2 linked regions of the Coturnix japonica genome follow. The protein of the gene in region 1 interacts with the protein of each later gene in a pairwise test. Links are inferred from orthologs where the notes say so. Each region holds a gene or a part of one and is shown in the gene's direction. Other genes may lie near its edges. The genes, in order: BMX and PTPN21.

The links.
Region 2: the proteins of BMX (region 1) and PTPN21 interact in binary tests that used the Homo sapiens proteins (3 or more experiments, as listed by UniProt). The link is inferred for Coturnix japonica from reciprocal best matches to the Homo sapiens genes BMX and PTPN21.

The regions. Positions count from the first base shown.
Region 1 is NC_029516.1:109,895,320-109,899,637, reverse strand, and holds the start of BMX (cytoplasmic tyrosine-protein kinase BMX), read left to right. Parts: upstream 1-1,255; coding exon 1,256-1,393; intron 1,394-2,385; coding exon 2,386-2,490; intron 2,491-4,318. UniProt on the Homo sapiens protein: Non-receptor tyrosine kinase that plays central but diverse modulatory roles in various signaling processes involved in the regulation of actin reorganization, cell migration, cell proliferation and survival, cell adhesion, and apoptosis.
Region 2 is NC_029520.1:39,110,058-39,113,881, reverse strand, and holds part of PTPN21 (tyrosine-protein phosphatase non-receptor type 21), read left to right. Parts: intron 1-491; coding exon 492-1,963; intron 1,964-3,824.

The DNA.
Region 1 (4,318 bases):
CCAACCTAATATTTTCATTGCAAAGACAGCTTCCCTAAGCTACTCTGTCTGAACTAGTATGAAGCTTGTCACTAGTGACTTCTACAGTCAGAGCAAATACCTCCCCTGAACACAGCAAAAATACCTAAAGTGAGGGGGAAAATTCATTCTCTTCTCCAATGCAATTTTAATCTACCCCAGCCTTGTCACTCCTTCTGATGTCACATGTCAAATTGATCTTATTCTGACCCACCAGGAGGACTAATATGCATTGCCTATCCAAAAGGGAATTGATAGTAGGTGTTTGTAGGCATTCTGTCCACCCGCACAGAAGGCAGCCAGAGGTGTGAAGGCATGTCTCATAAAGCTCCACTTTTCCTCTTCAGACTGTTCCTAGTAGATAATTGCTGATTTCTGGGCTCAGTTAGGTTTCAGTGGATACATCATGTGGGTATGATAAGCATCATGCAAATATTCTCTTTCTGCTGTGTTCTCTGTGGTGAACAAGGGTGCACATAAAGTGCACAGCCTAGTAGAACACTTTTCTTTGGAGCTCCAGAGCACACTTGGCAAAGGATATTTGGTCTTTATACTTCGGTAAGATAACCTGAAACCATACTAAGTTTATAGAAAGGTTGCATCCTTCCTGGTATTTGCTACTTTATGATAATCAAGGTTAAGAAAAACACATTTATGCATGTACTTACATGTGGTGCAAGAAGATTTTTACTTACTGATCTTTTCTACCTTTCACCATTCCATAAATGTGCATTTGTTACAGTTGAAAGAAAGAAATGGAAAATTTCCAGCTCAGGGAACAAACTTGTCAGCACTAGGTCTGTTTTTCTAGTCTGTACATAGAAGGGCTTTCTTTGTTGTTGTTGTTCTCTTTGCTGCTGTAATGACTTCCATAATATGCTGCAGATGTAATACATTTGTGCATAGACTGTGCTCTTTGCCAGATAGTGTGCATGGCTTTAGAAGAAGAGATGCTCAGACAGTGAAGTAACAGAAGTGCCTTATTTAGAAATACAGTATATATTTATCTTCATTTTCCTATAATGCGATTCTTTCCCCTGAAGAATAAGTTAATCAAACTCATTTGTTTATGCAGTGTTAAATACATGCATTGTAACCATGTATTACTATAGATTTCAAAACACATATAGAAGACAATGACTCAATATATTCTTTATTACTTCTTCTACAGTTGGTGCTGTCATATTTATCAATAGTGATAATAAAAATTCCTACAATGTTCTTTTAGGGAAATAAAATGGAGAAAAAGATCATTCTAGAAGAAGTTCTTTTAAAGAAGTCACAACAGAAGAGAAAAATGTCACCAGCTAATTACAAGAAAAGGTTGTTTGTTCTGACAAAAAACAGCCTTTCTTATTACGAATACAGCAAAGAGGTAAAAACTCATTTTCTTAAGTAAACTATTCAAAGATATTCCAACCATCACCTGATTCTTCTAGTGCAAAACTTGATTAGAAGCGATGCATTAGAAAAGCAGGTGTACTCTGTTTTGAGTAAAACTGGAAAATTAGAGGGTTACAAATTCTTTTTTCAGTTCAAGAAATCACTTGGCTGCATGCTTAAGAGCGTCTCTATTCAGAACAACTTAGAGCTATGTTTGCCATTGAGCATCTGTTTGCATCCTTTGCAAGACAACAAAACTTAAGCAAGTAATTAACTGTGGCATATGTTTACATATTGTCTTGAATAGGGATGAATAGGGATGTTTTCCTCATTCAGGCCTCCCTCTGAAGTGATGTAAATAAGTGGCTTCAGAAATTACTTGTGTGAGGCATAATTAGTTCCCAATCTTATCCCTCATTCGTATAAAGCAGATGGTTAAGCTATCGATTTCTAGAGACTGACTGTGCATCACATGAGGGTAGATTTCACTCAGAAAGTCTCCTGTTGGGAATGCAAATATATTACCCTGGCAACTTATTTCAAAGTTTTCTCTCTTTTTGTGTCCCTCTGGTGAGTTATGTTTCATTAGGATCCTGCATGGAAACCCACTGAGAATATGCTCCTGCACCTTAGCAAAAAATACAGATGCCACAGCTAGGCTTCTGGTTTGCAGTTCAAGTGTCTTCCACTTAATTCCTCCTTCTTCTTTCTCCTTTCAATTCCCTTCTTCAGCTGTACTCTTACAACTGCAGCAGATGTTTTCTCAGATGTAGGGCTGTGTCCTGTAATTTGTAATTGACTTTAAAAGCAATTTTGATTGGTATATAAATGTGGTTGGGGCACCAAAATTGTTTTTTGTTACTATTAAAATTTAACAACCTTGAAGCTATGGAAGCTGGAGACATGAAATTACACAGAACAGTAAATCTAGAATGCTCCATACTGAGTTAACATTAGGTTACAATCTGCTTTATTTTCTCTTAGAAAAGAGGAAGGAAGAAGGGGTCTATCGAGATTGAGAAAATCCGATGTGTTGAGATGGTGAATGTTGAGGAATCAACACCTCCTGCAAGACAATATCCTTTTCAGGTTTGTCATGAAATTTGTTTCATGTTCGTTTCATGTGAAATGTTCAAATCATCCTAGGATTTCACTGATCACTCCTGCCCCAGTTGCCAATACCTGCTATGGCTGGTTGCCATACATACTCCCTAAAAATAGAAAATCTGTCCTTATTACTCAGGTCGTGACCTTGTTAAAATGTTTTTACTTGGTTGGGATAAAATTTGGGTCTAGAATTTTTTCTCTTTTGTTCAAATTTCTATCATATTTGATTTAATACATAGATCAATACACTTATGTGGTTATGAAATTTTTAAGGCATAATTAGGGACTTAAAAAATCTCATTTTAACTCTCACTATTGCCTCTCCCATCTTTTTGCCCAGTGTCAAGTTGAGGTTTTGACCCAAGACTGCCTGATTACTATTCTTAGGCCTCAGTCTGTAAATTCAAAGCTATGCTTTGTGCATGTACCAGAAAATATAGCTGCACAAAGCACTGTTCAGGAATTAAATAAGGAAACCGTAACTTCAGATTTGTTGCTTTTTATCTCTTTCCCCAGCATGTTCTCCCCAGAGCCTTCATCTGTATCAGTTTTCTGAGCACAGACAGGCCGTAGTTCCCCTTGGAGTACCACCTGGAGCAGCACAGCCACCAGCAGCAGGCTGCTTGATAGTGTGTTAATCAATGACTCTGCAAAAATTGCCATGGCCAAAGGCATCCTCTTGAGAAATGCTCAGGTTTTCACTTCCTACTTGCTCCTAACCGTCATTCCTTTCTTCCTTTCCCTTCTGTCTCACCACTTTTATGGCAGGGAATGGTGCACTTGTCTTGAATTATTGTGTTTATCTCAGGAATTCACAACTCAGAGAAGTGGGAAGAATACACACTGCAGTCACAGGATGGGGTCTCCATTGTGGGAAACTGGATCTCTGAAAAGGGGGTTAGGATTCTGATAGCTGATTTTCACCAGTTCCAGTGTGATGCTGTGGGCAAAGGAGCTAATGGCATCTTTAGACATTGACAGAGGCACACATTGAATAAAAGCAAGCAGGCTGTACTGCCTCTGTTTTGACAGTACTGTGAACTGCAGGAGAATACTGAGTCTAGTTCTGGTGGCTCTAATTTAAGAAAGATGTTGCAAACTGATGGGAGGTCAGAGGGGAGGCTTCAAAGTGTCTAGTGGATTGGATAACATGCCTTAAAGAGAAAAGCTCACAGAGCTCCACCATTTAACTAAAGAGCCAGAAAATGGATTGATCAGCCTGGTATGTTTACGAGACAGAGTACACATTTAATGACAAGTGCTCTTCAGTGTACAAACAAAGCAATAAAGCAATACTTGAAATGCATTGCAGATGACTGAAAAGCAATGTACACAAGGGAAAGGAAGCCCTGGACTTAACACACACACTCACACACACACAACCTATACTAAGTATCACCCAAACAGCAAAGCAGATGCTATTAATTATTAGGTAGGAATGAAATGAAGCTGGCAGAAAGTATGTTGAACACAAGAAAAATAAGCTGATTGTTCATATTGTATAGCTAATTTATTGGGTTACTTGCTGTGGGAAGTTGTAGATACTAGTTACTTGCTTTCAAAGACAGCTGAACTAACATATCCAAGGCAACAGAGTATGAATGCATCACCTTTAGATCAGAATTCCCTGATCCAAAACTGCCCCAAGCTTTTATTCTGCCTCAGTATTTGTTTCTGAGTACTTGGAGACAGGCACTGGCCTGTCTAACAGCAGCCAGAAGCTGGAAGAGGAGTCTGGAAAAACTGAAGTGGAAAAATGAGTTTCTTTGTGAATTGTAAGGTCTTTTGTATATAGAAGACAGGTCTATCT
Region 2 (3,824 bases), on another chromosome or scaffold:
GTATATGGTTCTTGTTCAGACTGAATCCAAATTTTCTGGGTGAAAGTTAACTTGATTTTTATTTTTATTTTTTTAAAGTGCTTGTGATGAGAGTACTATGAAGAGAGGGTGTTTTTTCTTGCTATTTAAACGGATCTCATTAGGGTATTGCAGACCTTGGTATAGATGTTTGTTCTTTCAGTTAGAACTGTTTAAAATTTTAGATGGGTTTTACTAAATTTAAACTTAACAAAGCTATCATAAACTGAAGAAAGCCCTTATTAAACAGAGGTAATGCTTTCCAGTAGAAATTTGCATGATCTATTCTGGTAAATATACCTTAGGTATCTACAACATCAAAAAAGCTGTGGTTTTTCTCTTCCCAATTGAAAATGTAGTGAATTTTGACTGAGATTTTAAGTCTGAAACATCAGTTAGCAACATCTTAAAAGAAAACATCTTTGTTGTTCAAGGTCTTGAACATAAGACTTGTTCTTAAACTTTACTTTCAGATAACCTCTTTGTGAGCAGTCAGAATGGATACTACTACCACTCTCAGACTAGCTTGGATAGAGCCCCTCATGACTACAGTGGTCGAATCCGCAATGGTAGTGTCTATAGTGCACATAGCACAAACTCCTTGAACAACCCACAACATTACTTGCAGCCATCCCCCATGTCATCTAACCCAAGCATTACTGGAAGTGATGTCCTCAGAACTGATTATGTCCCGTCACATAGACATAGTGCACTAATTCCACCATCTTATCGGCCCACACCAGACTATGAAACTGTGATGAGACAACTCAATAGAGGAATGGTACACACAGATAGGCAGAGTCACTCAATGAGAAATCTTAACATCAGCAATACATATGCTTACAGCAGGCCCGATGCCTTGGTTTACAGCCAACCTGAAATACGAGAACATGCCCACTTCACTTCCCCACAATCTAACCATTATCCATTTAACCTGAACTACAGTTTTCATAGCCCATCCCCCTATCCCTATCCTGCTGAGAAACGCCCAGTTGTTGGGGCTGTCAGTGTGCCTGAGTTAACAAATGTGCAGCTCCAGGCTCAGGATTATCCAGCACCAAATATAATGAAGACCCAAGTCTATCGACCACCTCCCCCATATCCATATCCAAGACCTGCAAATAGTACTCCAGACCTTTCTCGACACATCTACATTAGCAGCAGCAACCCAGATCTAATCACGAGGCGAGTTCATCATTCTGTCCAGACATTTCAGGAAGACAGCCTGCCTGTGGCACATTCTCTACAGGAAGTCAGTGAACCTCTAACATCGGCACGCCATGCTCAGCTGCAGAAAAGGAACAGCATTGAAATAGCAGGCTTGGCTCCCAGCTTTGAAGGAATAAGAATAAAAGAGAGGACCATGTCAGCATCTGCAGCAGATGTGGCTCTTCCAAGAGTTATTTCAGAAGGGTCACAGCCCAACATTCTGATAGAGAGAACAAAGCAAAAAGAAAATGAGCAAGATGAAGGTGTGAACTGTGATCATAAGAAAACCCTTTCAGATGCCACTATGCTGATTCACAGTAGTGAAGAAGAAGAAGAGGATTTTGAAGAAAATAAAGCTAGTACTAGCCTCTCTCCTCTTCCTGAAGATCAAACCCAGCTTTCATCCATGATGGGTGGCTATTCTCATGATTCTGTACTCAACTACCCCTATAGCTCAGTTGCTTCATCTGCTGGTCCTTTGCATATTCTTGAGCCTAAATTACATATTACAGAAACGGAAAAGAGAATGAAAGATATAAGCCCAGTTCATTTACTAGTGGAAAACCACATACAGAGGAGAGGGGAAGGACTGCTTACTCCATCTATGTCAGAATCTGACCTTACAACATCAGGGAGATACAGACTAAGGAAGGATTCTTCTTCAATAAAGAAGAGACCTGTGTCCGATCTTTTGTCTGGGAAGAAGAATATTGTGGAAGGCCTTCCCCCACTAGGTGTAAGTGGATATTATTTCTTGTTTTATGTTGTTTCAGGATGTTCTGTGTGGGGTTTCTAAGTGTTTTTGTTTGTTTGTTTTTAAATCAACCTATATTTTTAAAATATAAGAATTGAAAGTTACTTTAAGCTTTATCTTTATTCTTCTATTTTTCTCTCATCAACTTTGCTTGCTTATATTCTCTGCAGTGTGTGAGTTTTGTCTGTGTAGTCCTCCCACACAAATCCAACTTTGTAGCCTCCATCCATCTGACATAACTAACCTTGTTAGCAACTAGTTTTTAGTTCTAGATCCCAAATTCTAGCCTCCCTATCCTTACCTGTATCAGAACCAACTGTGTCTGTTCCACTGCCAGCTTTCTAATATTAGAACTCACTGAAAAATCAGATGTAGCTGAATATTTAACTTTTTAAAATTCCTTTGTCTTCTTAGTCTGACCTAGGAGGATAATCTGACACATTAGGCAATAAATTCTTTGCTTGTGAACTCTTCTTTCCTCCGTACCTCCCTCTTTTCATATCCTTCCCCTTTTCCCTTGCCTTCAAGTTGTTTTTTATCTCACTGAAGTTATTTCCTTCTTGCCATGCCCCTTTCTCCTACTCCAGTCTTACAAAGCCGTGAAAAGAAATCAATTGAACAACTGCAGTTTTCCCACTTCCTGCCATCCCCTCTTCATAGAAACATCAAGTTCTACTTGGGACTCTATGATTTCACTTGCACTCTTTACCACTCAGTATGTTTGTTTGTTTTTATATAGCTCCTGGCATATTTCACATGCTAATGGAGAAATATGCTTTTATAATTTGTTTGCTTTTTTTTTTTTTTTTTCCCCACCGTTGGTTCTTGCTAACTTTGCCTGCCTGAGTTTGTGTCAAATCATTTTCTGCACAAACTAGTCTGCAGTGGAACTACTATACAGCTTCTGCTGCTGTGTAGTATCTGTTAGAGCTGATGTTACAAAAGCTAACCTGAAGTAAACTGTGTATTTAAATTATTGCTGTGTGCTCAACTTTTCTATATGTGAGACTTCTTACTTATATGTGGAACTGATCACAGTTAATCAGTTTTAATTTACTTAAAAATTATTTTCCTAAATCTCCTGCCTTCTGTGTTACATGGATATTAAAAAAAAAAAGATGATAGCTTTCTCCTTATATTCACATTTAGATATACTCAGTTTGTGTTCTTTTTCTTCATAAGATGTTTTCAGACACTGATGAGTCTACCAAAATCACACATTGCCTTTTCTTTGTGATAGCTGAGAAAGTATTTAAATCAACATTTGAAATGAAGTTGATATTAAAACCTTCTTACTGAGCACTAACAGTGAAATACTTTCTAGGTTAGTAATATTTAAGAATACTGTTGCAGAGTAGAGAATTGTGGTTTTGTATTCATCATTAAGATGAACTACCTTGTAGCAAAAGCTGCCCCTGCAACTCCTTTTCCATTTTGCTTTTCAACTTTCCAGTGAGCTTCTACTGCTGTGTTTATGCTCACTTTTAAAAACAGTCTCAAGCTCTTAACTTTGTCACCTTATTCTTTACTGGCATTTAGCTTTTGGAAACATTGACCACCATTCAAGCAGAATATTTGCCCATATTTTCAGTGGTTTTGGTTTTTTTAATAGCTAAACTGAGCAATTGAAGGAATGATAGTTTTCTCACATTTTCTAAAAGGATAATCTGAATTTATCCTTACATTAGAATCTCCTGGTGATATTTCTCAGTTCATGACTCAAATCATCCTGTTCTTCTGTGTTCATATTTTGTATGTGCATTTTATTGCGAATGTAGTCAAACATTTTATTGTATCTAAATAACTTATGATCTCATTATTATGACCATCTATAGAGAAGCAA